Arabidopsis thaliana: one gene and its partner. The protein of the gene in region 1 interacts with the protein of each later gene in a biochemical or structural test. Each region holds a gene or a part of one and is shown in the gene's direction. Other genes may lie near its edges.

Region 1 (14,872 bases):
TACACAGACGTAAAACAGTAATTTTACTTATTTACGTTTGCGTATTAAATAAAACAGTAATTTTTATGATTACAATTGCTTGTTTTATGTTTTTTTTGGACAATAAGATAGCTGGATCGAAAACATATAATATGTGACAAAAGGATAAGACTTAACATTACCAAAACAAAAGAACCAAAATCAAAATTGAATACTTCTAGTTACGAATTAAAAAAAAATTGAGCATAAAATATGGATTTTTTAACGTATACTACAAAATACAAATATTGTGATGAAAGAGACCAACCAAACAAAACCAAGTTGACCCGGTTTGATTCGTTGGTATCTTGGTTATATGAGTGGTTCACCACAAACAAATTTAAAATACTTAACAGGCCCACCAAATTGGCTAGATAGCCCATTAAGTTTCACTCTGTGTAGAACAAATGTCCCCAGTTGTTCAACTAAAAACAACTTATTGGGCCTAAAATGGGCCTTTTAAATTGAAGTAGACGGTTGGTGCAGAAGACTATGATTGATTTAATTTTTGAGTCACTTTTTCAATCATTTCCGATTTTGTATGATTTATTCATGATGATGACCACGACCGCCGTTTCAATCATTGGTCTAAAACTCTAAACATTTCAAAATTCTCTAGTTTTTAAAAGAACGAAATAAAAAAGTTTGAAAAAAAAAGAAGAGAATAAAAAAAAAAAAAGTCAAGAGAAACGTTAAAACGCAGATTGAAACAAAACATAGAAAAACGCGAAACGCAGATCGTGGAAATGTGAGTTTTTGAAAAGTTAGCGTCAGAGAGAAGAAGGAAATGTATGTCGATACAGCTGGCTTATGACCCCACCATTTTTTTTTTACTCTGTCGATGTGAGGAATTGTGGTCCTAAATTAATTATTTTATTTTGTAAAAAAGTGAGTTTGTTGAATTTTTTATTTATAAAAGAATATTTTATGAATGTTTGTTCGCTGGATATATCTATTTGTCATTAATAACAACAAAAGGGTTAATTTTTTAATTTGCTTTCTAATAGTACTAGTTAAAACTACAGTTCTTTTTGCTATTATTGTTGGTGTATTTATGTTTTAGTTAGTAGCAGTATAACATGTCAAAAATAAAAAATTTAGTAGCAGTCTAAGATGTAAGTCATGTGACATCTACCTATAAGAATCAGAAACACTAGTATGAAACATAATTAAATATTCTATTTTGATTTATAACATTGTTAATTATAATTTTGTATTAAAATGGTGAATTATAAAATAAAAATTCTTTTACTAAACTTAGATTTTACTAAATTACAAATATATGATTAATAAATGGGAAAAATGTCATTTAATTCCCCAACTTTAAAAAAATGGTTATTTTATACATCAACTTCGTATGTGCCCGTTTAAAACATGAACTAAACGTTGACTAATTTTTAAAACATGATCTTTCGTTGACCAGGCCAGAATAGACATGCCGTTATCAGTCATTAACGGAACTTTTAACGTCTGTTATCATCCGTTAACTTTATTAGTCAAGTTTCAAATTGTGGTCATTTTAAACATCAACTTCTTATTTGGCCATTTAAAACATGAACTAAACGTTGACTACCATTTAAGACATGAAAAATTCGTTAACCAGGCCAAAATAGATATGTCTTTATCAGTAGAACCTAGAAATAATGACTGTTAATCTGTCCAAAACAACGTCGTTTGAGAATAATCGAAAGAACACAAAGATTTTTTCCATATAAAATCTCCATATCAAAAGTTTTAAGCAGAACCCAAGAACATAGTTTGATAAAGAGATAATCGCAGTGCCAGTAATTGGAAGCAAATAAAGGTGTTTTCGTTTATATATTTGTTTTAAATTTTAAAGGGAATCATGGAAGCAAATTGAAGACTCATTATAAGATTATTCGTCTTGTTTGAGCGGTTGTAGAAATAGATTTGGGGAACTGGGGTTTCATTTAGAATCTTTTGATTATTCTCAAAACAAAGTCGTTTTAGGGATACTAATAAAGTCGTTAACAAGTGATAATGAATTTTATAAGTTCTTTTAATGAATGATGACAACATGTTTATTTTGGCTTGGTCAACGAATTTCTCATGTTTTAAATGGTAGTCAACGCTTAGTTCATATTTAAAATAGTCACATATAAAGTCGGTGTTTAAAATGGCCACAATTTAAAACTTGACTAATAAAGTCGTTAACGGATGATAACGGATGTTAGAAGTTCCGTTAATGACTGATAACGGCATGTCTATTTTGGCCTGGTCAACGAATAATCATGTTTTAAAAGTTAGTCAACGTTTAGTTCATGTTTTAAACGGCCGCATACGAAGTTGATGTATAAAATAATCATTGTTTGAAAGTTGGGGGATTAATTGACATTTTTCCCATTAATAAATTGACTCTTAATGTTTAGATTAAGCTTAGAATTAACAAATCAACTGATAAGAGTTATAACAAGTTTAAGCTCTTCTTCTTCCTAAACTGAATATTATGCCAATATTTCAAATATTAGAAATAAAGGTTTTAAACTAAATGTAAATCTATGACATGACATAATCCTTTTATATTTTTGTAATAAACATAAGAATAATAGGATAGTGCAGAAAAAGCTGTGATTCCAATATAATTATGTGATTGATTGACTAAACAAAAATATGAAGTCTAAAGAATTATAAATTTCTGTAGTTATGAATCCCATCTATCATTGGTTGCTTATTAATTTATGAGAAAAATAAATTTTTATTGACAATCTTATTTGTTTTGTTTTTGGTAGTCTAATATTGAAGTACACATTTATTAAAGTAATAAAAATAAACCATTTTAAGGACACATACGAAAAAAGAAAAAAGAAAAAATAAACAGAGAGAATTGCGGAGTAAAATAAAAAGAAAAGAGAAGAAGGCAGAGACAGAGTGGTGGTCTTGTTCGTCTCCTTTCAAAACTTGCGGCGGCGGAAACTACGTTTCACGGCGGCGGTCTTAAGTTTCTTCCTTCTGAATCTTCTCTCTTAAAAAAAAAAAAAAAGTTCCCATTCGCTGTAATTGCAAACTGGCCAAGTACCCCACTTGCTTCTACTCTTGTCTTCAAAGGTTCTCTTTTTTTATTCCTTCCTTTTTTTTCACCAAATTAAACAAATGGGTTTGGTAGTTGCACAAGAGTAAAAACTAACCAAAGTAAAAAGTTTGATTCTTGTTGTTGTTGTTGCCGTTGTTGATTCTTAGTTAAGTAAGTAAAAAATTTTCGGTGAGTCTTAAGAAAGAGAGAGAGAGAGAGAGTTGTTGTCTGAAACGATGTCACTTTCTGTCGGCATTGTCTGCGTTCCGACACAAGACTTGATTTCTTCTTCTTGTTCTTCTTCTTACCCTTTTACCTTCAAGTTGTTCTAGAAGAAACTGCGGCGGTTTGATTTGATGTTTCCATTGCTCTCTGTTCCGTTTTCACACCAAGCTTTCTTGTTTCTGATTAGAAAAATAATTTGATTCCTTGAATCTGCCGATATAAGGAATTTTTTTCATTGAATGTGGAGAAAAAAAAGAATGTGGGGAATCACGTCATCGATTTTGTTGAATTTGTGTGATATTTAATCGCCGATGAAGTTGAGATTTTCTGGAGATCTGTCAAGGTTCTTTTAAAAAATACTTACTGCATGTTGATTGATTGATTTTTACAAAGTTGACACCTTTTCTTTTTTTACCTCTCAAGCTCCTCTGTTTGCTTTTAAAACTGTCTCTTCTGTTTTTTTTTTTTTCTTTTCGCCGACATTCTTGTTTTATTCTTTCTCTCCAGGGTTATCGCATGGTAGTAGAAGCTTGGAGCATCGGTGAGGAAAAGAGAAAGAGAGAGAGAAGGCAGTTTTGTTTTCCAAATGTCAGCAATTCTTGCAGCTGCCATTGGTGGTGCTGTAGGAGCTCTTGCATTGATTGCTTTGTTTGTTTTTCTCCTTTGGTTTTGTGTCTTTCGTCGTAAGAATCTGTCTAGAACTTCTGAGACTGGCTCTTCTGATCCATCTACTCAAGGTAAATCACAAATCCCATCAATTCTATTCCTCTCTCTCTCTCTCTATTGACTTTCTTGGATGATATCAAAATGATTTAGACTTTTTTTTCTTTTGTTATATGTTTGTGTGAGTTCAGAAGGAAGAAATGTTGCAATTGAGTTGTCAATGAGAGAAGCTAGAAGATTTGAAATGGAGGAACTTGCTCAAGCCACCAAGAGTTTTACCAATAAAAGTCTTATTGGTATTGGCAAATTCGGCGAGGTTTACAAAGGTTTGCTTCAAGATGGTGTTCTTGTAGCTATCAAGAAAAGACCTGGTTTGCCTACTCAAGAATTTGTTAACGAGGTTTCTATAATTAATCTTGTTCAAGTGTTTGCTTTTAGTCTTCTTAGACCAAGTGTATTGATTGAGAGGATATGGTTTATTTCTTCAGGTTCGTTATCTATCGTCTATCCATCACCGTAATCTCGTCACTCTTTTGGGGTTTTGCCAAGAAAGCAACACACAGTTTCTTGTCTACGAGTATGTTCCTAATGGAAGTGTTTCCAGTCACCTGTACGGTAACTCTCTGTCCTTAATGTTATTTTCATTTGGTATTTAATCAGTTTGAGAAATGAGTTTGGACGATGTAAGCATCGTTTAGGTCTTTTCCTCTGTTAGGTGCTGGTGGTAAAGTACCTGGTAATAGACTAGAGTTCAGACATAGGCTTGCAATATCTATAGGAGCAGCTAAAGGTAAATCCTCTACAAAATCCTCATTGAAGCCAGCTCTAGCTTGTGTCCTGATCTTGCATATACCCTTTTGTTATCTCTAGGCTTGGCACATCTTCACTCGTTGAGTCCTCGGTTGATACACAAGGACTTCAAAACCGCTAATGTTCTTGTGGATGAAAATTTCATTGCTAAGGTTGCGGATGCAGGAGTCCGTAACTTCTTAGGAAGAGAGGATGTTGGTACATCGTCTCACATTGTTGCAGACCAGATTTTCCTCTCCCCAGAGTAAATTAAAAAGATTTCACCTTCTAAGCTCTCATATGCTTCTTTTTAGTATCAAAGTTTCTCAGATTGTCCCCTTTTTTTTTCAGGGTTCAAGAGTTCAAAAGATTTTCAGAGAAAAGTGATGTCTATGCTTTTGGTGTATTCCTCTTGGAATTAGTAAGTGGAAGAGAAGCATCAGAACCATCCCCTTCAAGCTCAACGCAAACTCTAGTCGATTGGGTATGTAATCACACTCAAAACCGTGCCAATGTAATCTATTTTGATTCTCATTTTGTATGCATTGGGAGTTGCAGATGCAAAACTTAACGGATTACGCAGATATACCAATGATGATTGATGAGAGACTAGGAGGTACATACACAGCAGAAGGAGTTGAGGAACTTATTACATTGACACTAAGATGTGTTGATGTATCAAGTGAGAAGAGACCAACAATGAGTTTTGTTGTGACAGAGCTTGAAAGAATATTGGATAAAGAAGTGAGCTTAACAACAGTAATGGGTGAAGGTACTCCAACTGTTACTCTTGGAAGTCAGCTTTTTAAAGCAACCAAGTGATTATTATAAAGGAACCATCTTTTTACATATATATACATATATATATATATATTATATAAGTTCTCTGAGACAAGAACCAATCAGAGAACTTAAGGAGGAAGAAGAAGAAGACTGATCAGCTGTTTTGTGTTAAGTGTATAAAGAACAGCTGAAGCTTATTGTTTGTTTGTTTTTTCCCTCCTTTTTCACTTCCTTTGGAGGTTATTATTTTCAGCAATTATTTTTTTGACAATGAGTGCAGAAAAGTATAACTTTGTAAAAACATTATTTATTGATATAAAGGAAGCAAAGAGTGGAATGTTGTGTGATTCTTTGTTACATTTTACTCTCTACAAAAGCTTTGAACTTAGCTTGAAAGACTTTATTGCCAAGTTGGTTGGTTGAATAAGTTTTGATGAAAAGATTCCAATTGGCTAACTGTTGAACTAACAGAAGGTGATAACTCCCTGTCTGAAGAACTCTAATTATTATGTTTGTACAGAAAAACTCAGAGCTACTTTTTCCTATAAAGTAGCCAATTTTGGGAAAGATTTTGACCTTTAGCTTCAACCTACCTATGCTTTGATAGCCTTTATTGCCAAAGGGGAGATATAGTAACCAAGTTGGTCTCTAAAGTCTTGATCAAAGATTCCAATTGGATAACAACACTCTTGGTCTTGGACTAGTATAGTTCCTACATACTCCATTTGCTACTAGTGAAAATAAACTCAATGCTCTGATTTATTACTCTGTCCCTAGTTTTGCTAAAAAACCTTTGTGGGCACACAGAACTATAAACAAACAGTCTTTGGAACAGATTGCAAAATCAAAATCATGTTTGGTCTGATTTTATGTCGGGAGAGATTGAAGATCTAATGATAAAGACTCTTCTTCTGTAGATAGTTAACTCGTTAAATTGGTGGGTCTCACATTTATTATTACCTTCCAGATTTTGACCTCACAGAAGCAAAAACACAGTAGTGATTGAAAAGCTTAGAAAAGAAATTACAAAACCAGAGATTGTTGATTCTTAGTTCATACATAGAAGAAAGAAACAGAGCTAATGTTTTGTCATAAATACTAAAAACCGTTAAAAGTATATTTTTAAAATGAGAAAAAATGTGAGCCATTCGATTTTTGGATAGACCCATCATGTAAAGGTTTAAGCTTTTTTTTTGTTAGCCAAAGAGAAAGCCTTTTTAGTTCTATTGACAATGGCGACGAAGCTGATTTCTCCGCCGTTGTCTTGTCCGTGGGTTACTTCAAGAGAGGTGATAATCAAAGGGCTTCCACGGCGGAGAAGAGAATGGATGGTCACGAAGAGAAACAGAGTCTCTGCTGTCACGGCCATGATTGTGGAGCCACTTTCTGTTGTTTCTTCTTCAGCAATTCAGATTCATCAATGGTGGGAACAAAACCCTAATTCGTTACTGTTAATGACGGAGGCTACTGGTGGTTATTCGTTGGCTAGCTATTATACGTCTTTGGGTTTGTTTGTTATCTCTGTTCCTGGTCTTTGGTCTCTAATCAAACGCTCTGTTAAATCAAAGGTTCGAACTTTACTAATTACAAAACCCTAAATTTCACTTCCAATTCCCAATTTCTTCGATTTTGAAAAAGCTTGAATGCAATGTTGAGGATTTGTAGATAGTGAGAAAGACGTTTGTTGTTAATGACGTCAAGAAGGAGCCAAAGCAAGTAGCTGGAGAGATTCTATCTTTCTTCACAAGGAAGAATTTCAATATCACTGATCGTGGAGAAACAATCACGTAAGCTACAAAAAGCTCGAACTTTTCATTTGGGTTTCTGTGTTTTGTTACTGACATTGTTTTGATAAAAAGATTTGAAGGAAAGATGGTTCCAAGTAGAGGACAAGCTGCTCTGCTTACGTTTTGTACATGTATAAGCTTAGCAAGTGTTGGTCTTGTCTTAACCATTACAGTTCCTGATTTTGGAAACAATTGGTTCTTCATCATTCTCCTTAGTCCACTCGCGTAAGCTCTCTCTCTTTAAGGTCTCTGAGACTGTTTTTTTGTCAATGAAATGGTGATTATTTTGTATGTGTGTGTGTGTTGCAGAGGAGTGTATTACTGGAAAAAGGCGTCGAGGAAAGAGGAGATAAAAGTGAAGATGATGGTGGGATCAAAAGGGAGATTGGATGAGATTGTGGTTCAAGGAGATGATGTTCAGGTCGAAGAAATGAGGAAAGAGCTTCAGCTTAATGAGAAAGGCATGGTTTATGTCAAAGGTCTCTTTGAGAGATCATCATAATGATAACATTTTAGCCTCCCATTTTTGCCTTTTGGGGAATGTGTCTATACTTGTTTTATTAAGGTTGAGATTAATGACTTTTTAACTCATTTCCCATACTTCATACTAAACGAATCGATTTGAATATAGTTCATTTGATTGAGCAATTTTGTTATTTTGAAAGTCCAAATCCATTTTTTCATTACCAAAGACAACAATAAAGCCACAAATTTACTAAGAATTAGTAAGTATGGTCTTCCTGAGTGATCGGCTAGTCCATGATTCCCAAAGCCAAGGTTGTTCAGTACTATATGCCATCAATGATGAGTTCGAATTATATGTACATATGAAATGGGAGATATGGATACTTCGATGCCATTGAGAACAACTCAAAAATCTTGGTGATCGAGACTTGAAATAATGACAGCATTAAGTGTACATCTAAAATGTGTTTTGGAACTTTTCGAGATCCTTCAGATGCTCGAGGTTTGACACATTTTCTTGAACACATGATGTTCAAAGGATCAAAGCTATATCTTGACCGGAGTGAGGTATAATGATTACAACAATAGTAGAGACGAATACGTGGAGATAAGTATAAGTTTGTTATGGAGGCTAATAAGAGGTTAAAACACGATTGAAAAAAAGAAAAAAGAATCATGAGAATAAGACTTGATCAAACATAATACATTCTATGAAAGGTAAAACACCAAGATGTAGAGTTGGCAAAAAGAAACTAGAAAAAGAAAGTGGAACTTGTTTTTTTTTTAATATTAAATTATATATTTTTTAATATTAAATTATATATTGACAACATATAACTTTTTGTTAATATTAAATTATAGAATTTATTTTCATCTTTATTTGAAATGTTAATTATATATTGAAAACATAAAAATAGTTACATTATTTGAGTATTTTATTATATAAATCTTGGTTTTCAAAGTTAGTAACTCGTATGATCTTGATCAGATGATGCACAAACTTTGTAGACATCATGGTTAACCTAACATAAATTTATCTAAGTTAATCAAAAGAATCTTACAAATTAAAAAATGATTAGGTCGAGGTGAAGAGAACAAATTACCACATAGTGTTGTAATTAGACGGACATATATGTTTAAGTTAATAATGGGCTTTACCTCTATTTGGGTTGAGCTCAACCTTACTCGATTAACAAAAAATCTGAAGGTCGCGTGTTTGATCTACGCTCACCGCACCATTTGTTAAGAATAAGAAACGTAATCTCTATTTCTTAACTTCCGATACACCGTTTCACAAAAGATTGAGCCACCGGCACATCACCGATTCATAACTCTCTCTCACAAGCGACACATACGTTACTAAACATTCATCAAACAATGCATAAAACTAATTACAAGTCTAATCTCAGTATTTATATACAATTGTTTCTTAATTTTTCTTCTTTCTTCTCTTCACTCACGTGATCAATACTAAACTTTGACTCTCTCTTGTTACGACCACAAATTTTTGACGTATCGAAATGGTTGTCAGTCTAATAAAAAACCGTAAATAAAATCTAGTAAAATCTCTGTTAAATTAATAGTGTTGGAATCAAAATATTTTGATTTATAGTGATAAGTTATCTCTAAATGAATATTTATTATTTTATGATATAAATGAATTGTTAATTTGTAGAGACATTTTTTTATTTTTTTATTAATATACGTATATCACCTTGAATAATTAATACAAAGATACTTAAATGATACTGTGTTTATATAAAAAAAAAAAAAAATCATTAGCAATCATTCGATTCGGCTTGCAATAATCTAAATGGACCATTTTATCACTTCTCCAACAAGCAACTCTACAGTGTTTAATTTTAAATTAAGAATTTAATTATCTATATCGTCTCTTCTTTAGTTAGGAAGTGGATAAGATAAAGTCTAATCCAAATTAAATCATTAATACAAATAAAGTTAAGACAAATATTTAATTTAAATAAATAATCAGAAGAAGAGTGATGATAGTGATTCTTCACGCGCCTCTCTCTCTTCTTCGTCCTCTACAAAAACACTTGTCTCTCTTCTACACATTGTTCTTCACGAACCTCTCTGTATCATCTTCATCTTCTTCTCCCGTAAAGCTCTCGCGTCTATGGCGGTCAAATGTTTCTCTCTTTATCTGATTCTGGCGGCGATTGTAATCGGCGGCGTCACCTCCGAGTACATAGAGTACAACACAAAACCGAGAATCGTCCCTGAGAAAATCAATGTTCACTTAGTTCCTCACTCACACGACGATGTAGGTTGGCTTAAGACCGTTGATCAGTACTACGTAGGCTCCAATAACTCCATTAGGGTACTCTCCCTCTTCACACATCTCTCTCTCTGTCTCTTTCCATGGATTCTTTAGGGATTTGATTTTTGTTCTCAATTTGATTTGAATCAGGGAGCTTGTGTTCAGAATGTATTGGATTCTGTAATCGCTTCATTGCTTGATGATGAAAATAGAAAGTTTATTTATGTTGAAATGGTAAGATTCAGATATTACCAAATCCGGAGTTTTCTTTTGTCTTGCTTGATGAAATTAGTATTGTTCTTAGGCTTTCTTTCAAAGATGGTGGAGGCAACAAAGCAATGCTAAGAAAGTTAAAGTCAAGAAGCTTGTTGACTCTGGTCAACTTGAGTTCATGTGAGTTTGATTGATCTCTTACCTTTTTTGTTTTGATGACTTGTGTGTATCTGTTTGTGTTGATATGTGGTTTTTGTAGAAATGGTGGAATGTGTATGCATGATGAGGCAACTCCACATTATATTGACATGATTGATCAGACTACATTAGGCCATCAGTTTATTAAAACTGAGTTTGGTCAGGTTCCTAGAGTTGGTTGGCAGATTGATCCCTTTGGACATTCTGCAGTACAAGCTTACCTGCTTGGTGCTGAGGTATAATTTGTTCATCGTTTTTGTTCCTTTCGTTTCATAGTGAGTTTAGATGAGTTCAGTATGTGAATGATTAGCTTATATCAGCTCTAAGTTATTTTGATCGGACAACCCTTTGGTTTCTTCTACAGTTTGGCTTTGATTCGCTGTTTTTCGCTAGAATTGACTACCAAGATCGTGCAAAGAGGTTAAGAGAGAAGACACTTGAGGTTATTTGGCAAGGTTCCAAGTCTCTTGGCTCTTCTTCACAGGTTTAAACCGTTAAACCTCACATTATAATTCTGCTGTTTCCATAGCTGGCTTTGTCTCATTGCTATTTGATGTTACTTGTAGATATTTACTGGTGTATTCCCAAGACATTATGACCCTCCTGAAGGGTTCACGTTTGAAATAAATGATGTATCAGCTCCTATCCAGGTAAAAGCAATTGAACCGGCTGTGCTGTTTTTGAACTTTGTTTGAACGTGCACTGATGAATCATCTTGAATATAGGATGATCCTCTCCTTTTTGACTACAATGTTCAAGAAAGAGTCAACGACTTTGTAGCAGCAGCCCTCGCACAGGTAAAGATCATATCCATTTTTTCTTGAAATTAGCTAATAGAAAAGAAGCTTTGCTGTGATGTGACTTGGATTTCTCTTTTCAAGGTTAATGTGACCAGGACAAATCATATAATGTGGTTAATGGGAACTGACTTCCGTTACCAGTATGCATATTCGTGGTTCAGACAGATAGACAAGTTTATTCATTATGTTAACAAGGTACACTGGATTTTCATACTAGCATACTCATATCAATTGAATTTCACTAGTCTCAAGGTAAGAGAAATACCAATCTTGATTCTCTTGTTCTTTGGACAATCCAGGATGGGCGTCTCAATGTTCTGTATTCGACACCATCTATCTACACCGATGCAAAATATGCTGCAAACGAGTCCTGGCCCCTAAAGACTGATGATTTCTTCCCGTGAGTTTGATAGCTCGGGTTTTACTTTCTACAAATGCAAAATGCATGTTGATCAAATAAATAATACATGTACCTGTGTCAGGTATGCGGACAAACCTAATGCATACTGGACAGGGTACTTTACGAGCAGGCCAGCCTTTAAGAAATACGTGAGGGATTTAAGTGGTTACTATCTGGTATGGCCTACAATTATTTTATATAAATTTCATAGATTTGTGGTTTATATTTTGCTCTTTTCTTACACGGCCTTATCTGTTTTCAAACAGGCAGCTCGACAATTGGAATTCTTGAGAGGAAGGGATAGTTCAGGACCAACAACTGATATGCTAGCCGATGCTTTGGCAATTGCTCAACACCATGATGCAGTTAGTGGTACACAAAGACAACATGTGGCTGCAGATTATGCTCTTAGACTCTCAATGGGCTACCTGCAGGTGATTTTTAGTTAGGCATCTCATGTGTTGTTCATGCAATTTTTGTGTTTCTTGTTGGCATAGCAGTTTAAGAATTTCTCCATGATCATTACTAGGCCGAGAAATTGGTTGCCTCTTCCCTTTCCTTTCTATCAGCAGCAAAATCAAGTACTGAAAAGAAGAATCCTGGCACAAAATTTCAGCAGGTAATGTGCTTTAAGATTTTGCAGGATTCCAATATTACTGGTCGTGTTGGAAGAGTTGAAAAGACATTGATATCGAATTTGAGTGGTTATTAATATCGCTTCCGCAAATGATGCTGTTGCTTAAGGCAACAAAGAAGTTTTAGTAAGCTGCTTTGTAGCATTTTCATGACTTGAATGACTCAAGTTCCCAAAACTTATCATAATCTATGTTAAGCTGATTCTTATCTTGTGCATTATATTCATATTGGCAGTGTCCCCTGCTTAATATTAGTTACTGTCCTGCATCTGAAGCTCGTCTGTTGAGCGGGAAAAGCCTGGTAAGTCTAGCAGACAGGCTTCCTTTGAGTCTATGAAGCCTTGGACCTCTTGGTTAGTTTTTATCTTCTGTTCACATTGATCTCTCCTTGTAGGTGGTTGTTGTTTACAATTCTCTAGGATGGAAACGAGAAGAAGTTGTCCGAGTTCCTGTAAGTATTTTCTTATCTACTTGGTTGACCAGTGTAGTTCTCACTTTATCTTTGTTTGTTATCCAATATTATTTACCAAATCTACCTGATAACTTCTTTAGGTGTCGTCTGAAAATGTTATTGTGAAAGATGCATCTGGGAAAGAAGTCGTGTTTCAGCTTCTACCTCTTTCAGAAATCGCTTTGAGAATTAGAAATGAGTATGTCAAAGCGTATCTGGGAAGATCACCACGGGATACTGCAAAACACGTGCTTGCATTTACAGCTTCAGTACCACCTCTTGGGTTCAGCTCGTATGTAATCTCAGACACTGGACGAACAGGTATGTTTCAGAATATGTAATATTGTGTCATAACATTATTATGAGTTATAGGATCTTGAATACAATTGCATATGTTTTAGCTCTACTAGCCGCAACTTCCTTACTGATACCAACGGATGTTATGTATTTAATTACATCTTCGTTTTCTAATTTGATTAAGCGCGTGGACTATCTGCATCATATGTTACTTCTGGAAGCATGAATCAAAATGTAGAAGTTGGCCAGGGAAATCTAAAGTTACGCTATTCAGAAGAAGGAGTTAAAATAACTCGTCACTTAAGTACCAAAAATCAGGTGTGCCTGTGTTTTTTATATCTTAACTTACCTATTTTTCCATTCGGATATGTAAACATCATCTGATGTTGATTTTTGGTGGATTTTAAGGTTACTGCAGAACAGTCATATGCTTATTATATTGGAAGCAATGGAACTGACAAGGATCCTCAGGTAGCTCAGCTCTTTAACAGATACAACCTTATCTACTTAGCTATCATTTTGATGTGTGTCTGAACCATTCTCATATACTTTTATAAGGCTTCTGGAGCTTACGTTTTTCGACCAGATGGTGTGCTTCCAATTAAATCTAAAGAAGAGGTAATACATATAAGCTGCATCTATAACCTTATTTCCCGACAGTATGTGAAAACACAAAAGAAAAACTAATTGTCTAGCCTGACTCAGGCTCAATTGACTATTGTTCAAGGACCTTTGTTCGATGAAGTGCACCAGGAGCTTAACTCCTGGATATCACAGGTTATAAACTCTTTGCAACTAGTTAATGCTCTTAAACAGTTTAATTACATCACAGAAGCTATAACTGTTTGATCCATCTTGTGATGGGTCTGTTAATTTGCAGATTACCAGAGTGTACAAGGGAAAAAACCATGCTGAAATTGAGTTCACAGTGAGTTGATCTCTTTTCACAATTCTTCATGTTAAACTGATGAAGAGAAATTTCAGTATTTTAATTTCCTACTTTCTAGATTGGGCCTATACCAGCTGATGATGGTATTAGCAAAGAGATTATCACTAAACTTACAACCACCATGAAGACAAATGGAACATTTTACACAGACTCGAATGGCCGTGACTTCATCAAGCGGGTATTAGATGCAAAATTCATGTGAAGTAGTTTATTTTTATTTTTGTAACAAGGGGTATTTTGTTTTTATTGTAACATACTTTGTTACATTTTCTTGCAGATTCGGGACTTCAGAACAGATTGGGACTTGCAAGTGTACCAACCGGTTGCTGGGAACTATTATCCTGTAAGGCATCAAACCCATCTGAGATTCCTTCTCGTGGTGTACTAAGGTCTTGTACTAGACTGAGCTGCACTATATCTGGCCTTTTGTCTAATATATATATTTTCTTCCAGCTAAATCTCGGGATATACATGCAAGATAAAACCTCAGAGCTATCCGTGTTGGTGGATCGAGCTGTAGGTGGATCCAGCTTAGAGAACGGCCAGATCGAGTTGATGCTTCATCGGTTTGTCAACTAACTTTCTCTATATAACCAAGACAAGCATATGTTGTTTTGCTTGTATTTCACCTTTTTTTCATTCATGTAGGAGAATGCAGCATGATGACATTAGAGGTGTTGGTGAGATTCTTAATGAAACAGTCTGTCTCCCTGAAGGATGCAAAGGATTAACGGTAAGCTTAAGTTCTCATCTCATTTTTAGCTGTCCAAGTTGCAACGTATCAGCTTTTAAGGGAACATGTGACAGAGCTTGTTTCCAAGGTGGTATTAAATCGTTATAGTTGGTCTTATAACCGTTATGGTAACTCTGAATTGTTTTGCAGATAC
Region 2 (17,239 bases), on another chromosome or scaffold:
AAATTACGGATTTACGTTTCTGGCGGGAAAATTACGGGTTTAAGTTTTTGGCAGGAAAATCTCGGGTATACGTTTTTGGCGGGAAAATCACGGATTTACGTTTTTGGCGAGAAAATCACGGATTTACGTTTTTGGCGGGAAAATCACGGGTTTACGTTTTTGGCGGGAAAATCACGGGTTTTCGTTTTTTGGCGAGAAAATTACGAGTTTACGTTTTTGGCGGGAAAATCACGGGATTTACATTTTTGGCGGGAAAATTACGGGTTTACGTTTTTGGCGGGGAAATTATGGATTTACGTTTTTGGCGGGAAAATCTCGGGTTTACGTTTTTGGTGGGAAAATTACGGGTTTACGTTTTTGGCGAGAAAATTATGGATTTACGTTTTTGGCGGGAAAATCTCGGGTTTACGTTTTTGGCGGGAAAATCTCGGGTTTACGTTTTTGGCGGGAAAATCTCGTGTTTACGTTTTTGGCGGGAAAATCTCGGGTTTACGTTTTTTGCGAGAAAATCACGGGTTTACTTTTTTTTGCGGGAAAATCACGGATTTATGTTTTTTGGTGGAAAAATTACGAGTTTACTTTTTCTCAATTTCATTGCTTGTATATTTAAGAAATTTGGAAAAATATTAATTTTATTAAATTGGTTTAGATGTGTTGGTTAAACCTAAATTGGCATTGGTTTAGAGATTTTAGTTGGTTTTATTCAATTTTACAAAATTTGATGGGTTAATTGGATAAACCATGGAAACCATTAACCATTACAACCTAACTCATTTTACTCATCAAACCAATTGACTCATCAACTCATTTGACTCATCAACTCATTTGAGTCAAAAATTTCAACTCATTAGGGTTCATGGGTTGAGTTGAGTTGAGTTGACCCATGAATTTTGACCCATTTTGACACCCCTACATATGATCATAAGTTAATAATCAAAAATTACTATTGATAACTTTTTAACGGAATTGTTTTGTAAGTTTCATTTACGTTATTTATATAAAAAAACATAATGCAAAAGTACTAATGTATAGTTATTTTTATTTTTAATAATGCAAAAATATTACTGTAATACTTTTTCATTCTTATCAATATTTTTTCTTATATTCAATTAGCCACCAACACCTACATTTCATATTTCTCTTCACATTCATTATTTTCTTGCTCTTGTATTCCTTCTTATCATCTTCATTGCCAATTTTTCATTGACATTGTCATCGTTACTTTGTATGTATGATTTTTGAACATTTAATGTGAATCCCAACCGACTATAGGACTATCAAGAAGTTTTCAAACTTTTTAAAAAAGATCTTGAACCTTTAAAGCAAATCCCAACCGACTATAGAACCATAGTCCTCTTCCTTGTTGATGAAGCTCTTCTCGTGCCGGCGAAAATCTAGGCCATAAAAGCCTCTTCAACATCACCTAGTATATTGACCGTGACCATCTTTTTGACCATTGCTTTGTGAATGAACCGTCGATAAACCGTGTTATCACTTACGCCAAATTTTTCCCTAGTGTTTGTTTCCAAACTCTCACGAATCCTTATCGAACTTTTTTATATATCACTTTGTAGCATTGGAAAGTATCTTTGTATGCTTTGTCTTAAACTTAGACATCCTTGTTCTCTTGGTTTTTTTGAACCTTGCTTGACTTAAATGAAGTTAAAAATTTGTAGTTAAAAATAGAAAATTTTACTAATTTGAGTTCGATTAATCATAGTCTAGATAATTTGAAAAAAATTAAAATAAATTTTGAAAATACTATATGTTTATTTTTTAAAAATAATTTACTAAATTGATAAGTGATATTAGATTAGTTTTTTTTTTCTTTTTTAAATTTTGAAAACCTCACAATTATTAAATTGAAAGATTCAAAATGCAATGTTAGTTTTTAAAAGTTTAATCACCCAAACGGATAATTGACCCGAACGACTAATTCAGGTCGTATACGGGTACAGTCAAATAACCCGACCCGAAATGCTCAACGGATCTGCACGGACGTTCGCATCGACGATTCACGGCTTTCGCGAATCGCATCACGAGCCTTCCTTCTCTCCTACGCCTCTTTCATCAACCCTTCTCTGCGAATCCAATTCTGGTATTTCACGATTCTCTTTCGACTACGCCCAATCGCAATTCCAGCCGTACGAATTTTATATATTGATTATGATCTTGATCCTTACCTTTTCGTCGTTTCCTTGATCGAATTTATGTTGATTTATGCTGCGAAATCAAAATTATGGATACAGAGTAATTTTGTATATATGGATGTGTAGGAGCTAAAATTAGCAAACAATACGTAAAGTAATTGAAATCGAAATCATAAACGTTTAAGGAAAGAGGTTTTTACTAAGTCTCTGAATAATCTGATTGATAGCTTGTGGTCAATGGATCAGATAAAAGTTTGTAAAGAATGACAAAGAAAATGAGAAGAGTGGGCAAGTACGAGGTTGGTCGCACAATAGGTGAAGGAACCTTTGCTAAGGTTAAGTTTGCGAGGAACACAGACACTGGTGATAATGTAGCCATCAAAATTATGGCTAAGAGTACAATACTTAAGAACAGAATGGTTGATCAGGTATGTTCTGGATTGTTTTTTACATGGAAACTAAGGTTGTTGCGTCAATGGTATGATCTTTGATTTCGTTTAAAGCTCTTTTACAGATAAAAAGAGAGATATCTATAATGAAGATTGTTCGTCACCCGAACATAGTGAGGTTGTATGAGGTATGTTTGTTTGTTTCCATGCATCTGCGAAATTTTATCTCTGAAGTGTTTTTGCATCATTGTTCTTCTGTTGTTTTTTTGTGATTTTCCCGATGTAGGTGTTGGCGAGTCCTTCGAAAATATATATAGTTTTGGAGTTTGTGACAGGAGGAGAGCTCTTTGATAGAATTGTACGGAACTTCCATACTTGTAGGCAGCGTCCATTAGTTAAAACCTCTCTACTTAATTTTTTAATATATGAAATCTTTCATGCAGGTTCATAAAGGGAGGCTTGAAGAAAGTGAGTCTCGGAAATACTTTCAACAGCTTGTAGATGCTGTTGCTCATTGTCACTGCAAGGGTGTTTACCACCGTGACCTAAAGGTAAAGACGTGTTTTTGTTTACCAATATTCCTCAGAATATCTCACTGCGTTGCAATCCAGACTTGATATTTTTGTGTCGCTATGTTATGTTATCTAGCCAGAAAATCTTTTACTCGATACAAATGGAAATCTGAAGGTTTCGGATTTCGGACTCAGTGCATTGCCTCAGGAAGTAAGTGCTCTTATCTCTGCTTCAGCAGTCTGCTTACGTGGTCATTAACTTGTTATATACTCAATCAGGGAGTAGAACTTCTGCGTACCACATGTGGAACTCCGAACTATGTAGCTCCAGAGGTACTTAGTGGACAGGGTTACGATGGTTCAGCAGCTGATATTTGGTCTTGCGGGGTTATTCTTTTCGTTATATTGGCTGGATATTTACCTTTTTCCGAGACGGATCTTCCAGGGTTGTACAGAAAAGTAAGTAACATATCTTTCGGGAAGAAATCATGAATTCCTTGTCATGGCTTTTGTCAAACCGTTTATTGATTTGGTTTTGCAATTTCACCCTTAGTTTTGAGCTTTTACACATTGTTATTTACAGATAAATGCAGCAGAGTTTTCTTGTCCACCGTGGTTTTCCGCAGAAGTGAAGTTTTTAATACATAGGATACTTGACCCCAATCCCAAAACAGTGAGTATTTTGCTTTGTTCTCTCCTAGCTATCAGGTTTTGGTGATATTTAATGTTCTAGTAATTATATCTGTTTATCTATTATTGTTTCTCAATTAGAGCAGCGTATTCAAATTCAAGGAATCAAGAAAGATCCTTGGTTCAGATTAAATTATGTGCCTATACGAGCAAGGGAAGAAGAAGAAGTGAATTTGGATGATATTCGTGCAGTTTTTGATGGAATTGAGGTTTGTGCTTCGCCTTCATTATATGCTCTTTGCTGGTCAATTCCATTTAAATGTTAAGATCTCTTAGGAACGTTTGGATGACCAAGAAGAAGTGTTTGCTACAGGATAGAACAAAATAGTAGGCATGTGTTAGTTACCAAACCTGTAAACTGCTTCTTTATTCAATTCGCCAAACCATAGACCTTAGGAAGACTTAGATTTACAAGAGAATTCTCTATTCTCGACCAAAAACCCTAGACAAAATCCAGAATACCCCTAGGGCTAATTACAATGTTCATGTACCTATCAATATATATCTCCTGCTAAGATTGTCTTAGCTTTGGTATAGCCTAGATATATATAGATACCGTAATTTCTAATGCATATTTAGAATGTTTTACTTAAACTCAGGCTCTTGCTCTTCTAAAACTTGTACTTCAATTGTTAAACTAAAACCTCAGTATCTGTCTTAGCTAAAGTTACTTTTACTTGTTTTTCATTAAGTTGACCTGTCAATTGCACTTGTTCACAGGGCAGTTATGTAGCGGAGAATGTAGAGAGAAATGATGAAGGGCCCCTGATGATGAATGCCTTTGAGATGATTACCTTATCACAAGGCTTAAATTTATCTGCACTATTTGACAGGCGACAGGTAGTACCTGATTTTCTATTACTGGTCATAGAGATCTCCATTTCGAATAAAAGAATGTCGGTAGCATCTATTCTTCAGACTGCCCGTTTTGACTGCCTTATGATGCTGTGTTCTTAGTTTGTTATAATAACTATAAGTTCATTAGATGATTGGTTGCATGGCATTAGTAGATACAAATGGAATCCAAAATGTTCCTGCATATTGATGGCTGATCCTTTGATCTCGCAGGATTTTGTTAAAAGGCAAACCCGTTTTGTTTCTCGAAGGGAACCTAGTGAGATAATTGCTAACATTGAGGCTGTAGCGAACTCAATGGGTTTTAAGTCTCATACACGAAACTTCAAGGTAACGAATTCCTAGCATATTACACTTATCACAGAGATTATGCATTATTTTAAAACTCTCAACTGTTAAACGCATGTGTAGATAGATTGATAAGATTGACAAGGAAACTTAGTTTATATCTCTGGCGTTCAAAAACGAAAGTCCTAGTGTGAATTATCATTTTTAATGTTAGCAGAGAGTACAATTGTTATGATTTGTTACGTCTATGTGCTCAACAGACAAGGCTCGAGGGATTATCTTCGATCAAGGCCGGACAGTTAGCTGTTGTGATAGAGGTAATTATTGCTTGTTGTGATTGTAATATAAGTTTGCTTTGCTTCAGTTTAAGGGTATCTAGCAAATTGAAATTAACCTACATGCAGATTTACGAGGTGGCACCATCGCTTTTCATGGTAGACGTAAGAAAGGCTGCTGGTGAAACTCTTGAATATCACAAGGTTTATAAATATATATCCAATAACAATAGTTGCATCATTACTGTGTTGCGGATTAGAGTGATATTTTGTTTTGTGGTATCGCAGTTCTACAAGAAGCTATGTTCGAAACTGGAAAACATAATATGGAGGGCAACAGAAGGAATACCAAAGTCAGAGATTCTCAGAACAATCACGTTTTGATCCCAACTTAAATCCAATAAAAATGTACACTTGTGTAATAAATGACCTAATTATTCTTCAGGGAGATTGGAAGATTTGCTTCTTGAGCTAGTATTCTAATTTGATTGTGTCTTGTAGTTTGCTTTGGCCATTGGTTTGGATCCCTCTGTTCTCTGTGTATGGCAATACTTCTCAAAACTTGTCCTGCGAAGACATGTACTAACAAAACACATCCAATATGAGTTTGCTTACTAGACTACATGAGCTTTATGCCTTTATTTAGTCAAGACTATACGAGTTTAAGCTAGGCAGAGCATTTGGTTTGGATTCTTTCGATAGGGTTTTGTCGGGTTTTTTTTTGGGATTAGAGAAATTCTACCCAAATTAATTAAACTAAATTATGGTTCTTTTTGGTTATATTTTACTATATAAACCTTGATTTTTAAAGTCGCTAACTCATATGATCATGATACATGTAATATCATTTCATAACACAAACATCAATTCATACATAACACAAGTCTCAATCTAATACTCAAATTAATATCGTTATTTTTGTTGGTGTCGAATCTCGAACTATGTGTTCGGATCCATCCGAAGCTTGCCACCTAAAAGTCAACAAGACAACGGTCAACGGGACATGCTCTCGACCGAAGCCCATAGTTGAAGCCGAGCGAACCGAAGAGTTTGTACAACGGAGCGAAAAGGAGATGAGTTTGAGAATGGGTAACGGGCCGAGCATTCGGAGGCCCATGAAGGGTTCAAAGGAATTCAAATGAAGACGTTACAACATTGATTAGAGAATCAAAGCGAACACTTTTAAGAGCGCTTAGTACATTAATTAACAAATTAATGTAAATTATAAATATGAGTCCCTTAAAGCATAAGGGGGTACATTGATTTCTTTCTAAATATCTAATATTATACTATTTTATCTTCATATCTTTGCATGCATTTTGATAATATATACAAAGTACAGTATATACACTTGTATTATTTTTTTAAAAACTAGATGAACATACATGCATGGGTTTTTGTTTTTAAAATTGTTGGAAAAAATTTTGGTTATGGTTTTTTGTTGATTTTGATATTCATTTTTTTTTTTCCTTCTAAAACCTTTATTAGTGACGAGTGTCATAATCATTGTTTACAAGAGACATCAAAAATACAGGACAAGAATGATACAAAAGACCAGAGATTTGGACCTAAAATAGCTTTTTTCGCTAATAGATCGGCACAGGCATTTTGTTCACGATGGGTGAAACAGAATTTCGAGTTTATGAAACCACTTCTCCAATGTTGTATTGTCCCCATGTAGTGTTTGAGTCGAAGATGAGCACCGTACGTATTAATAACTTGGTTGATGGTTTTATTATCCCCTTCGAATATTACGTTTCGGTATCCTAATCCCCACGCAGCCTGTATTGCCCAGATAAGTGATGTACATTCAGCTTCTTCTATCGTATTTCGTCCTTCAAATTGTCCCATACCACAGTCCAACACAAAGCCATTGGAATCACGAATTATCCAACCAAGTCCTGAGGCTCCAGCTCCTTCATGATGCGACGCATCATAATTACATTTCACCCATCCCCTAGGTGGTGGTAGCCAGTTATCTCTTCTTGTTCTCTGTGTGTGAGGAGCCGGAATTGTGTTCACTTGTTTAATGACATTCTCAATCCACTCCTGAGTGTCCGTTGTTGCCAGTTCGAGCGTCTCCCGTGCCGGAATAAGCTTTTTGTTGAATATTAGATCATTACGGCATTTCCATAATCTCCACATAATCCAAAAAGGGAGGTACCTGTGTAATTCATCGACATTCCTATCGTCGTGAATCCTAAAGAGGTACCTTAATTTGTCTTCCAGGGGTGTTTGCGAGTTACATGGTATGGTGGTGTCTAGGCAAGTGGTCCTCCATACCGCTTCCGCATGCGGACAGGAAAAAAAGATGTGATTCCCTGTTTCAGCTTCCGTGCAACAGTGTGCACGGTATGGATTGATGATGATGTTCCGTCGCCTTAGGTTATCGGCAACCCCGAGAGCAAGCGAAGCTGTCCTCCACAAGAAATGCTTCAATTTGGGGACAATGTTTAGTTTCCATAAACGGTCGGCAATATCAGGGTGTGAAGATAGCGGCAGAGTGATAGGTGGCTCACTTGTGCTCTTTGTTGCTGCTACCCAATATCCTGATTTGACAGTGTAGCAGCAATCCTTTGTAAAGCTCCACACATATGAGTCATGTGCTGGTATAAGGGGTACATATATTTTCCGGATAATTGGATGGTCAATCGGATCGATTAGTGCGGTGAGTTTCTGTTCATCTCATTGAGATGTAGTCGGACAGAGTAAAGCCAAAACCGTTGTTTTCGGGTCCGTCGTTGCTAATAACAGAGGTGGCCGGGGTAGAGTGGTTGGTAGTCACGGCTCATTGCCCACTTGGGTTGTGTAACCATCTCCAATGTTCTTCTGTGTCCCGAGATTCAACAATTCACATCCAAACCGAAGGGAACTCCATCCATAAGACGGTCTCGTGCCTCGTGACGCACTAAGGAAATTCCCATGTCGAAAGTATCTGGCTTTAAGCATTCTATAGAGCAGACTTTGTGGTCTTTGTAGCAGTTTCCATACCTGGCTTGCAAGTAGTGCTTGGTTGAATTGGTACAGGTCTCGGAATCCTAAACCCCCTTCTCTCTTTGGTCTTGTCATTTTTTTCCAGGAAACCCATGACAGTTTCTTTTTTGTTGCCGTAGTGCCCCACCAAAATCTCGTTATCATACTATTGAGGTCGGAGCAAAGTTCCATTGGGAGCGCAAATACATTCATCGAGTAGACCGGCATCGCAAAAGCTACTGATTTAATGAGGGTCTCTTTCCCTGCAGCAGTGAGAAACTTATTTTGCCAACCATTTATTTTCTTACGGACAGATTCGGAAATGTATTGGAGCATTTCTTTTTTCTTTCGACCAAATTGCTTGGGAAGTCCCAAATATTTTCCCCCGCCCCCAATATTTGGTATTTGTAGAGTCTGCATTGCATGATCCCTTGTTTTTTGGTAGACACGACTCCCAAATGTTATTGATGATTTATCAAAGTTTATAATCTGACCTGACGCTTCCCCATACTCTTTAAAAATGTTAAGAAGATTGAGGCTATTTTTGCGATCCGCTTTTAGGAAAAATAGAGAATCATCAGCGAAGAGTAAATGGGATATGGAGGGACCACCATTACTAACTTGGATTCCTATTATTTTCCCCGTCTGTTGTGCGTTAGTCATCATGGAACTTAAGACATCGGAGCATAGTATGAAGAGGTATGGTGATAGAGGATCTCCTTGTCGCAGACCTCGGGAAGGTGAAAACTTCCCGTATGGACTTCCATTGATCAATACCGAGAAGGAAACAGAACGGACACAATCCATGATCCATTGGATCCAGCGAGTTGCAAATCCCTTTTTTTTTAGAACTTCTTCCAAGAAACTCCATTCGATCCGATCGTACGCCTTACTAATATCTGTTTTGACCGCCATATACTCGTTTGCACATCGTTTCTTAACTCGTAGTGAATGGAAAACCTCATGGGCGATGAACACATTGTCAGTTATATGACGTCCAGGTATGAAAGCAGCTTGATTTTCAGAGACAACCGACGAGAGAACTGCTTTTAACCTCTGTACCAATATTTTGGAGATTATCTTGTAGAGAACATTGCATAAACTGATTGGTCGAAAGTCCTTCATTGTCTTTGGGTGTTCGATCTTTGGTATTAAACAGAGGTTTGTATGATTCCATGGAGTTTCCATCTGTCCCGTTTCAAAGATTTTTTTCACTTCTTTCGTTATCTCAGGGCCAACAATATCCCAATATTGACGATAAAAAGATACTGTGAACCCGTATGGTCCCGGAGCTCTGGTTGCCCCAATTGCAAACAAGGCAGAACGTATTTCCTTTGTAGTAATATCCGTCAACAGAAGCTCGTTTGTAGCAGGTGACACCACCAGTTGGATATGTTGCAGAATTGCTGTCAAGTCTCGATGATTAGAACTACTAAACAGTTCCCCAAAATATTTCTCAGCTTTAGCCGCGATGTTTCCATTACCATAGATGTCGCTACCATCTGAATCTTGGATTGAGAGTAGACGATTTCGAGCTATGCGGTTCTTTGTAGAAGCATGGAAAAAACGGGTGTTAATGTCTCCTTCATTAAGCCATTGTATTCGGCTTTTCAGTTTCCAATACATTTCTTCTTCACGATAGGAAAGTAGTAGTTCCCTTCTGAGATTACGGAGATGATCATTTGAAACAGAGAAGTCAGTGCTTGCGTTATCAATGGTCACAGTCAGCTCCGCCATCCGTTTAGCAGAATTTGTGTTGTTTGTTCTCTTCCAACTTGATATATGAGATCTGCAGTTTCGGATTCGTTCTACAACAGAGCATCTAGAAGCGGGTATATGGTTCCAACCATATTCGACAATCGACTCAAACTCAGGTCTGTTACACAATCTGGAGTCAAAACGAAAGCAGCGTGTACCTTGTTCTGTTGTTTTGCGGATCTTAATGATAGCAGGTCGATGGTCTGAATCAATTAACTCCAAGTACTCAACCTCAGAAGCAGGGACACTTGTTTTCCATTGATCATTGGCCATTGCTCTATCAAGCCAGCATTCCAAATAATGAGTTTTCCTTTTGCCAACCCAAGTCATATTGTTTCCTGTGAATGGAAGATCTGATACTTTGCATGTGTTAACCATATTTCGAAAATCCACAAAACTCCAATTTTGACGAACACGACCACCCCTTTTTTCACTGGCATCGAGTATTTCATTGAAGTCCCCACACATTAACCAAGGCCCTTGTCTATGTATTGTGATTCTCTCAATTCTTTCCCATAGAATATGTCTTAACTTTCTGATCGAATGGCCATAGGCACAAGAGAAACAAAAAGAAGCTTCTTTATTACTTATCTTACAATCAATGAGTCTTGCATCAAACGAAAAGAAATTAACTGATACAGACTTCTTCCACATCAAAGCTAAACCACCGCCTATGCCCAAAGGCGACACACACTTCACATTATCATAATCCAACTGAGCTGCCACATCCCGAACAACGTCATCCGGATTCTTTGTCTCAATCAAAGAGAGTAAGTCCGGGGAATAAGATTTCTTAATCCCTTTGAGGCGTCGAACTACCAGGGACCCTTTTAAGCCCCGGTAGTTCCAAAACGCTGTATTCATGGCGGCTCCGGTGGCTTCTGGCCCACCGTGCCCTCTCGGTAAGTGTGTGGGGTGGTTGAAGTGGTTCTCCCATTGTTGTTGCGTACTGTACCCGATATTTTATGTGGTGCCATGAACCAGTTCCAGACTTCTAGCACTTCTGATTCTCTCCTCTGTCTTTTGGCAACGCAGTGTTGGGTATCCTCTGTTGCATAGGCTTGGCGCATATCACAACACACCAAAGGAAAGCTATAGTCGGTCTGAGAAGTAGAAGCGTTGGTTTTCCTCTTTTTGGAAGCATTATGGTGCTCTTCTTCAGTGTTCTCATCGGGAAATTGCTGATTCATTGGATCGTGTGGCAGATTGGGATGGACATCTGGTACATCGGGATGGTCATCATCAGCATCATTATCAACATCGTCATCATCATCACCAGGCTGAGGAGGATCCTGATTTCCAGAGGTTGGACATTTAGCAGCATCATGATTCAACATTCCACATGTGGTACAGAAATTCCTGAGTTTCTCATATCAAAACTTCAAGACACATGTCTCTTCTCTAAACTGGAAAATCCTCTGAAAGCGTAACGGGTCCTCGATGTTCCAGAGGATTATGACCCGTACGTAGTCTGTGAGGACCACGCCATCTCTACCAAAGTCTGTCTCAAGGAACAATCCCATACGCTCACCAATTGAAATGATCATTTTCAAGGTGAGGAATCGAAGTGGGATTCCTCTGATCTGAATCCAGAAAGGGATTCTTTTGAATTCAACAACCGTATGCAAAGCAGTCCATCGTTGAATGACACACATCCAATCGTTGAAAGACCAAGGCCCTCGCCGGAGAATTGAGGACATGGATTCTTCAGATTGGAAAAGGAATTGAATTTTTTGATTCTCCAGAATTCTGCCTACCACCTCTTCACCTACGCCCCAGAGGCGAGGCAAAGCACTCAGCATTGCCCGAAGATTTTGTTTCCTTGGGTTCACCGGTTTTGCAATGAAACTAAATTGAGTTTCCTGAAGAGCCTCATCACAAATTTTAATCGGGAGATTGATTGCTTCCTCTTGTATTCCTAACGCAATATCTTGCAGTTGTCGTTGGAGATTATCTGCCATTGTCAATATGAACAAAGGAATTTGTGTACTTTCACTCTGATCAACCCAACGAGAACAGAGACATGCGCAGGGTATAAATAGGTTTGGTTGAGAAGCAGTTATGGGGTCCACAACCGTTCTACCGTTATTCATCCCTGAAGTAACCGCCGGAAACTGGCGAAGAAAACTCTCGGCGAGCGAGAGACAGCCGTAGGAATCGAAGAGATGCAATCGTTCGTCGTATCGCCTCTCTTCTCTCATTTGATTTTGATTTAGAGAGAGAGAGATTTTTCTTGATATTCATTTTTTGTGTGTATTATTATGTAATTAATAATTTTATATCTATTTTATATAATTATAATTTTTTATTTTTTTTAGAATGAGGGAGACTAGTCTCCCATATTATTAAAAAACAAAATAAAAAAATTACACACGAACATTCCGTGGGCGCGTAGCACTACTAGCATCCTCAAAAATAATCGAAGTAGCAAAATCAGGCCTAAGGGGAAAACTATGAAACCCCAAAGGTAACAAAAAAGCATGGTTTGCTAATTCATCTGCGAGACGATTAGCTTCCCTATACACATGAGTAATTCGGACAATCTAGTCCTTCGAAATGAAGCCATAACATAAACGTACTAGGAAAGACAGAGAATGCGAATCGCTAATCCATGTTTTAAGAAAACCCACCACCATATCTGAATCCACTTCCAGCTACACCCGCGTAGCCTTTTTCTCCCAAGCTATGAAAAGCCCGTAATACACACCTCATAACTTAACTAAAGGAGCCGAACAAACTCCGAGATTCCCGCAAAACCACCACACCAAATACCCTCATTATCCCGTAAAACACCACCAGCTATTGCTAAACCCGGATTTCCACGTGATGCGCCATCCGTGTTTAACTTCAGCCAACCATCTCCTGGCGGAACTCATGCTATTTGTCTCTCCACCCTAGTTACATTACCTCGATTACTCCCAAGCAGCGAGTGAGCCTCCACCACCTCTTTCGCTGAATCCTTTAGGAAACGAACTCTATCTCGACATTTCCTATTCTCCCCAAACACATTTCTGCAGCGCCGTTTCCAACCCCACCATGCTGCCAAAGCGAATAAAGTAGCCCACGGATAACCTCCGACAAGTTCTTGTTCTCCCAAATTACTGTATACCCATTCAAGCAATGATTGTGTAAAGAACACATATAACCGCCTAGGGGGAAGCAAGCGACTCCAAATGCTTGCCATCGCCTGACAATCTCTCAAGACATGTAAAATAGTCTCTTCGCCACTCTTACATACTTGACATAAATTTGTGTCACAAATATTTCTTCTCTTTCTTTCCACATTGGTCATAATATCTTGGTTAACCACTAACCAGAGAAAAATCCTCACACGTTCTTGTACCACAACTCTCTAGACTCGCTCAAACATCCTCCATGATTGTTGACGTGGTACTTCATCTCTCGTAAGGATTGAGTGTGCTGACCTCACGGTGAAGCGACCATCTGGACTATCACTCCAAGATAAGCGATCTCGAGCACCTGTCACAACATCTACCACAACAGTAGACAACATCAATCTTATAGATTCTGGAATATATGGCAATACTTTTGATAGGTCCATTGTATCAAGCCAATTGTTTCTAGAAGTTTGAAGAAGTTGGACGAAATCTTGAAAATAATAATAATTGTTGTTAGACAAAGGAAGAAGAGGGAAGATTAGAGAATTATATAACTTGATCTGTCTAAATCTTATTGACATTTACCTTCGTTTGCGTGAGCATGATGAGCAACATTCTACAAATTGTTCATCATCTTGCAATAATATTTGTGTTGCAAGAACTAAAGGTGTTTTGTAAGAACTAAAGGTGTTTTGAAAGATTTAAAGGTGTTTTGAAAGATTTAAGTGTGATGATATGATTTTCTTGCATAGGTTGGCGTATTATTTATACCCATTAGGGTAACACGTTCTCTCGTATAGAGATGATGAGGTCTCTTTCATCTTTTTCAGATGGATAATACGTCAAAAGTTGTTGGTTATTACATGTATTAAACACATCATCCGCACTAATGTGAGCAAGTTATTCACACTTACCTTTTGTTTTTTTGGTGGGGGTAAATTCTTACAAATTAACTTGATGGAATGAAAAAATAATTTCTACCTACTATATTTTATATATACAAGATAAACTTAAAAAAAAAAAAAATTGTACATACTTAATTGCATGATTGACCATTAGGCATTTAGCCTTGACGAAAAGAAAGAACAAAACAAAAACAAGTAATAATATTTTTCCATTAGCAATAAAACAATCATACTGCATGTTTTCGTAGCTACATATCTCTGACTCTGTTCTCAATAAGCTCCCAACCACTTATCTGTCCAAAAACGAATATTAGAACCATCGCCAATCACCCATCCTAAACCTGGTAGGATTACTTCACGTAAACCAGCCCCTACACTACGCCATGTGGAAGACCAATTGCTTTTTACCACTGTCCACGACTTATCATGTGGATCTCCAACCTTATATTTGCTTCTCAAAACCTTTGCCCAAAGGCTGTCCTTATCCTGTAAAAGTCGCCATCCAACTTTTGACAATAATGCTTTATTCATAGATTTTTCTGACCGAATACCTAATCCTCCTTCCATCTTTGGTCTGCAAACTCTTTTCCAAGCTAGTAGATGTTGCTTCCTTTGTCCTGTATGACTTCTCCACACAAAATCTCTTGACACTCTATCCAAACTTTTAGTTATAGCCCCCGGTAATGCAATCGTACTCATCGAATGGACTGGAATAGATGCTAGCACCGATCTGGTGAGAGTGACTCTGCCTGCCATACTCAAAAATCTCCCTTTCCATCCCACTAACCTTAATGAGATCTTCTCTAACACATCTCCATAGGTGTCTTTATTAATCCGCTTATGGAGAATGGGCATTCCTAGATACTTTCCCAACTCTCTCGTCGCTTGAATACCACTTTCATCACTCATCAACTTAACCAAGTCTCGATGCACATTATCTGAAAAAAAAAATTTCGATTTTTCCAGACTTACTTTCTGACTTGATACCACACAAAATCGCTGCAAGATTCTCTGGATTATCCTTATTTGTGCCATAGAGGCCTCAACAAATAGGATAAGATCATCTACAAAGCACATGTGCAATATTTTTGGTCCCCCCTCGATAGGCTTATTGGTTTCCATTCTTTCTTAGCAATAGAGACATCAATAAGCTGACATAACCGTTCCATACACATAATAAGTATGAAGACAAAGGATCACCTTGGCGGAGTCCTCTTGAAGGCTTAAAAGGCTCCGTCTTTTCACCGTTCCACAAAACGCTCATTGAAGGACCCTTTACACATTGCATTATCCAAGTAATCCATTTCACCGGAAGACATGATGCCTCTAGAGTATCCTCCAGAAAATCCTATCTCATTCTAAGCTTTCTCCAAATCAAGCTTCAAGAGCATCCAGCCCGTGAGCCCTTTCTTTGTCTCATCGAATGAACAGCTTCTTGAACAACCACTATATTATAAGTGCTTAATCTGCGTGGTATAAAGCTAGACTGCGCTGGACCAATCAGTTTTAGCATCACTTTCTTTAATCTCATCACCATGGCCTTAGTGATCACCTTAAACAACACATTACATAGGCTTATCGGCCTAAACTGTGTTATCTTCTCCGGCTTTCCCACTTTGGGTATCAACACTACTAAGGCATAATTCATCTCGTCTACTAAAACCGAAGTCTCAAAGAAGTCCAACACAAACTTGACCACCGAAGGCTTATCGGCCTAAACTGTGTTATCTTCTCATACCGCGGACAGCTCCTTCCACTTATGCAGCTGAGAATTGTTTGTTCAACTCCCTTAAATCATCCCTTGATAGTCTCACAAATCCTTCATTAGGCAACTTATCCACCACCTCATCTATGTCTGCCATAAAGTAAAAGCGTTTGTAATAGTCTACTGCAAGCTTGTCAAGGTCATGTGCATTCACAACCCATCTATCCTCATTATCTTTTAACGCTTCTATTCGATTCCTGCATCTCCTAATAATGGTAGAAGTATGAAAATACTTCGTGTTCCGATCACCCAGCTCAACCCACTTCTCTCTCGATTTCTGGAACCAGAGCACTTCTTCCTACTCAAGGACCAAATCAAATTCCCTCATTAGCAAGTTTTGTTTTTCCAACAGAGTATCTGTCTAATTCACTTCTAACAGGTCTTGGACAACCTTGATTTCCTACTGTAACATATCTTTTCTCTTTTGCACATCTCCAAAAACATCACGATTCCACTGCTTCAGCTTTACCCGTAAGATTCCTAGGGCCTCTGGGTTCTCAACTCACCCTGCTAAGACGACACCAACAAATCTTTAAAACTGGTATGTGTTAGCCAGGTCGCCTCAAATCTGAAAGGATGTCAACTTGGATTTCCTCTTGTCACTGGACATAATTGCACATAAAGAGGTGCGTGATCTGACGGGGAGAAAGGGAGATGATTAACTACTGCTTCCTGCCATCTTAATCGCAAATGGGCTGAGCATAGAACTCTATCCAACCTCTGAGCAATGTAAGTCTGTTCTGCTCGACCTCTTCTCCATGTGTATTTGTTTCGTTTGAATCCCATATCGACAAGGCCAACTCGTTAATCCAGCTCCTAAACTCTAGAGAATCTAACGACAATTGACCATTACCACATGTTCGCTCATCCAACCTAACGATGGTGTTAAAATCTCCTCCAATACAACACTTGTCCATCAATTCTTTGGATAACCTCTCGAGGTTGACCCCATAGACCACTTCGTCGACTCGCCAAAGGAGCCGCGTATACTGCAATTAGGTTGAGCACATCGCCCTCATTCACCACCTTAACATGAATAAATTGCTTAGCCGATTCAACTATCTCCACCTCGCCTAGTCCCGATCTCCACATTAACCACAGTCCACCACTCTGATCCACTGCGTCTACTTGATAAGAATTCTCAAAGCCTAAGCCATGATAAATTCTTCTCGCCCTATCACCACCTGCGTGAGTTTCAAAAATAGCGAGAATGTTTGTGCTAAACTTCTTCAGAATATAACAAATCGACCTGCGGAAAGTGGGTTTATTGCCCCCCCCCCCCCCCCCCCCGGCAATTCCAGAATAGACAATTCATTGATAAATTCCAAAACAAGATTAGAACCCACCACCACCACCTTCTCCTCTAGATTCTCGAGCATGAGTACTCTGCCATTCGACCCAATACCATCTGGATCCGGTTGCGAAATCTGATCTCCTTCCACTCCATCACGATGCGTTTTGACCCTAACCATATGCTGTCCATTTTCACTCGTGAATCTACCTCCTAGTTTGCTCAAGCTCACCCCCTCGACTCTCAATCTTTTTCCCGAGAAGACCAAT

The links.
Region 2: of the proteins of CCB1 (region 1) and SOS2, one has a biochemical effect on the other in vitro, tested with the Arabidopsis thaliana proteins (one study listed by BioGRID).

Annotation. Positions count from the first base shown.
Region 1 is NC_003074.8:9,806,809-9,821,680, forward strand, and holds CCB1 (cofactor assembly of complex C), read left to right. Parts: upstream 1-6,414; 5' UTR 6,415-6,741; coding exon 6,742-7,077; intron 7,078-7,174; coding exon 7,175-7,296; intron 7,297-7,368; coding exon 7,369-7,521; intron 7,522-7,605; coding exon 7,606-7,798; 3' UTR 7,799-7,944; downstream 7,945-14,872. Other genes in the region: AT3G26700 (Protein kinase superfamily protein), read left to right, coding at 3,861-4,011, 4,129-4,337, 4,426-4,552, 4,653-4,727, 4,808-4,991, 5,078-5,210, 5,285-5,548; AT3G26720 (Glycosyl hydrolase family 38 protein), read left to right, coding at 9,899-10,102, 10,193-10,276, 10,347-10,435, 10,515-10,689, 10,818-10,937, 11,020-11,103, 11,179-11,250, 11,335-11,448 and 17 more. UniProt on the Arabidopsis thaliana protein: Required for the biogenesis and accumulation of native cytochrome b6 in the thylakoid membrane. Controls the conversion of apocytochrome b6 to holocytochrome b6. Required for covalent binding of the c-type heme to cytochrome b6.
Region 2 is NC_003076.8:13,632,520-13,649,758, forward strand, and holds SOS2 (Protein kinase superfamily protein), read left to right. Parts: upstream 1-1,879; 5' UTR 1,880-2,098; intron 2,099-2,396; 5' UTR 2,397-2,413; coding exon 2,414-2,578; intron 2,579-2,664; coding exon 2,665-2,727; intron 2,728-2,825; coding exon 2,826-2,897; intron 2,898-2,982; coding exon 2,983-3,090; intron 3,091-3,187; coding exon 3,188-3,262; intron 3,263-3,330; coding exon 3,331-3,510; intron 3,511-3,634; coding exon 3,635-3,724; intron 3,725-3,827; coding exon 3,828-3,950; intron 3,951-4,461; coding exon 4,462-4,581; intron 4,582-4,809; coding exon 4,810-4,926; coding exon of another isoform or gene 4,927-4,941; exon of another isoform or gene 4,942-5,144; coding exon 5,145-5,201; intron 5,202-5,288; coding exon 5,289-5,363; intron 5,364-5,447; coding exon 5,448-5,543; 3' UTR 5,544-5,856; downstream 5,857-17,239. UniProt on the Arabidopsis thaliana protein: Involved in the regulatory pathway for the control of intracellular Na(+) and K(+) homeostasis and salt tolerance.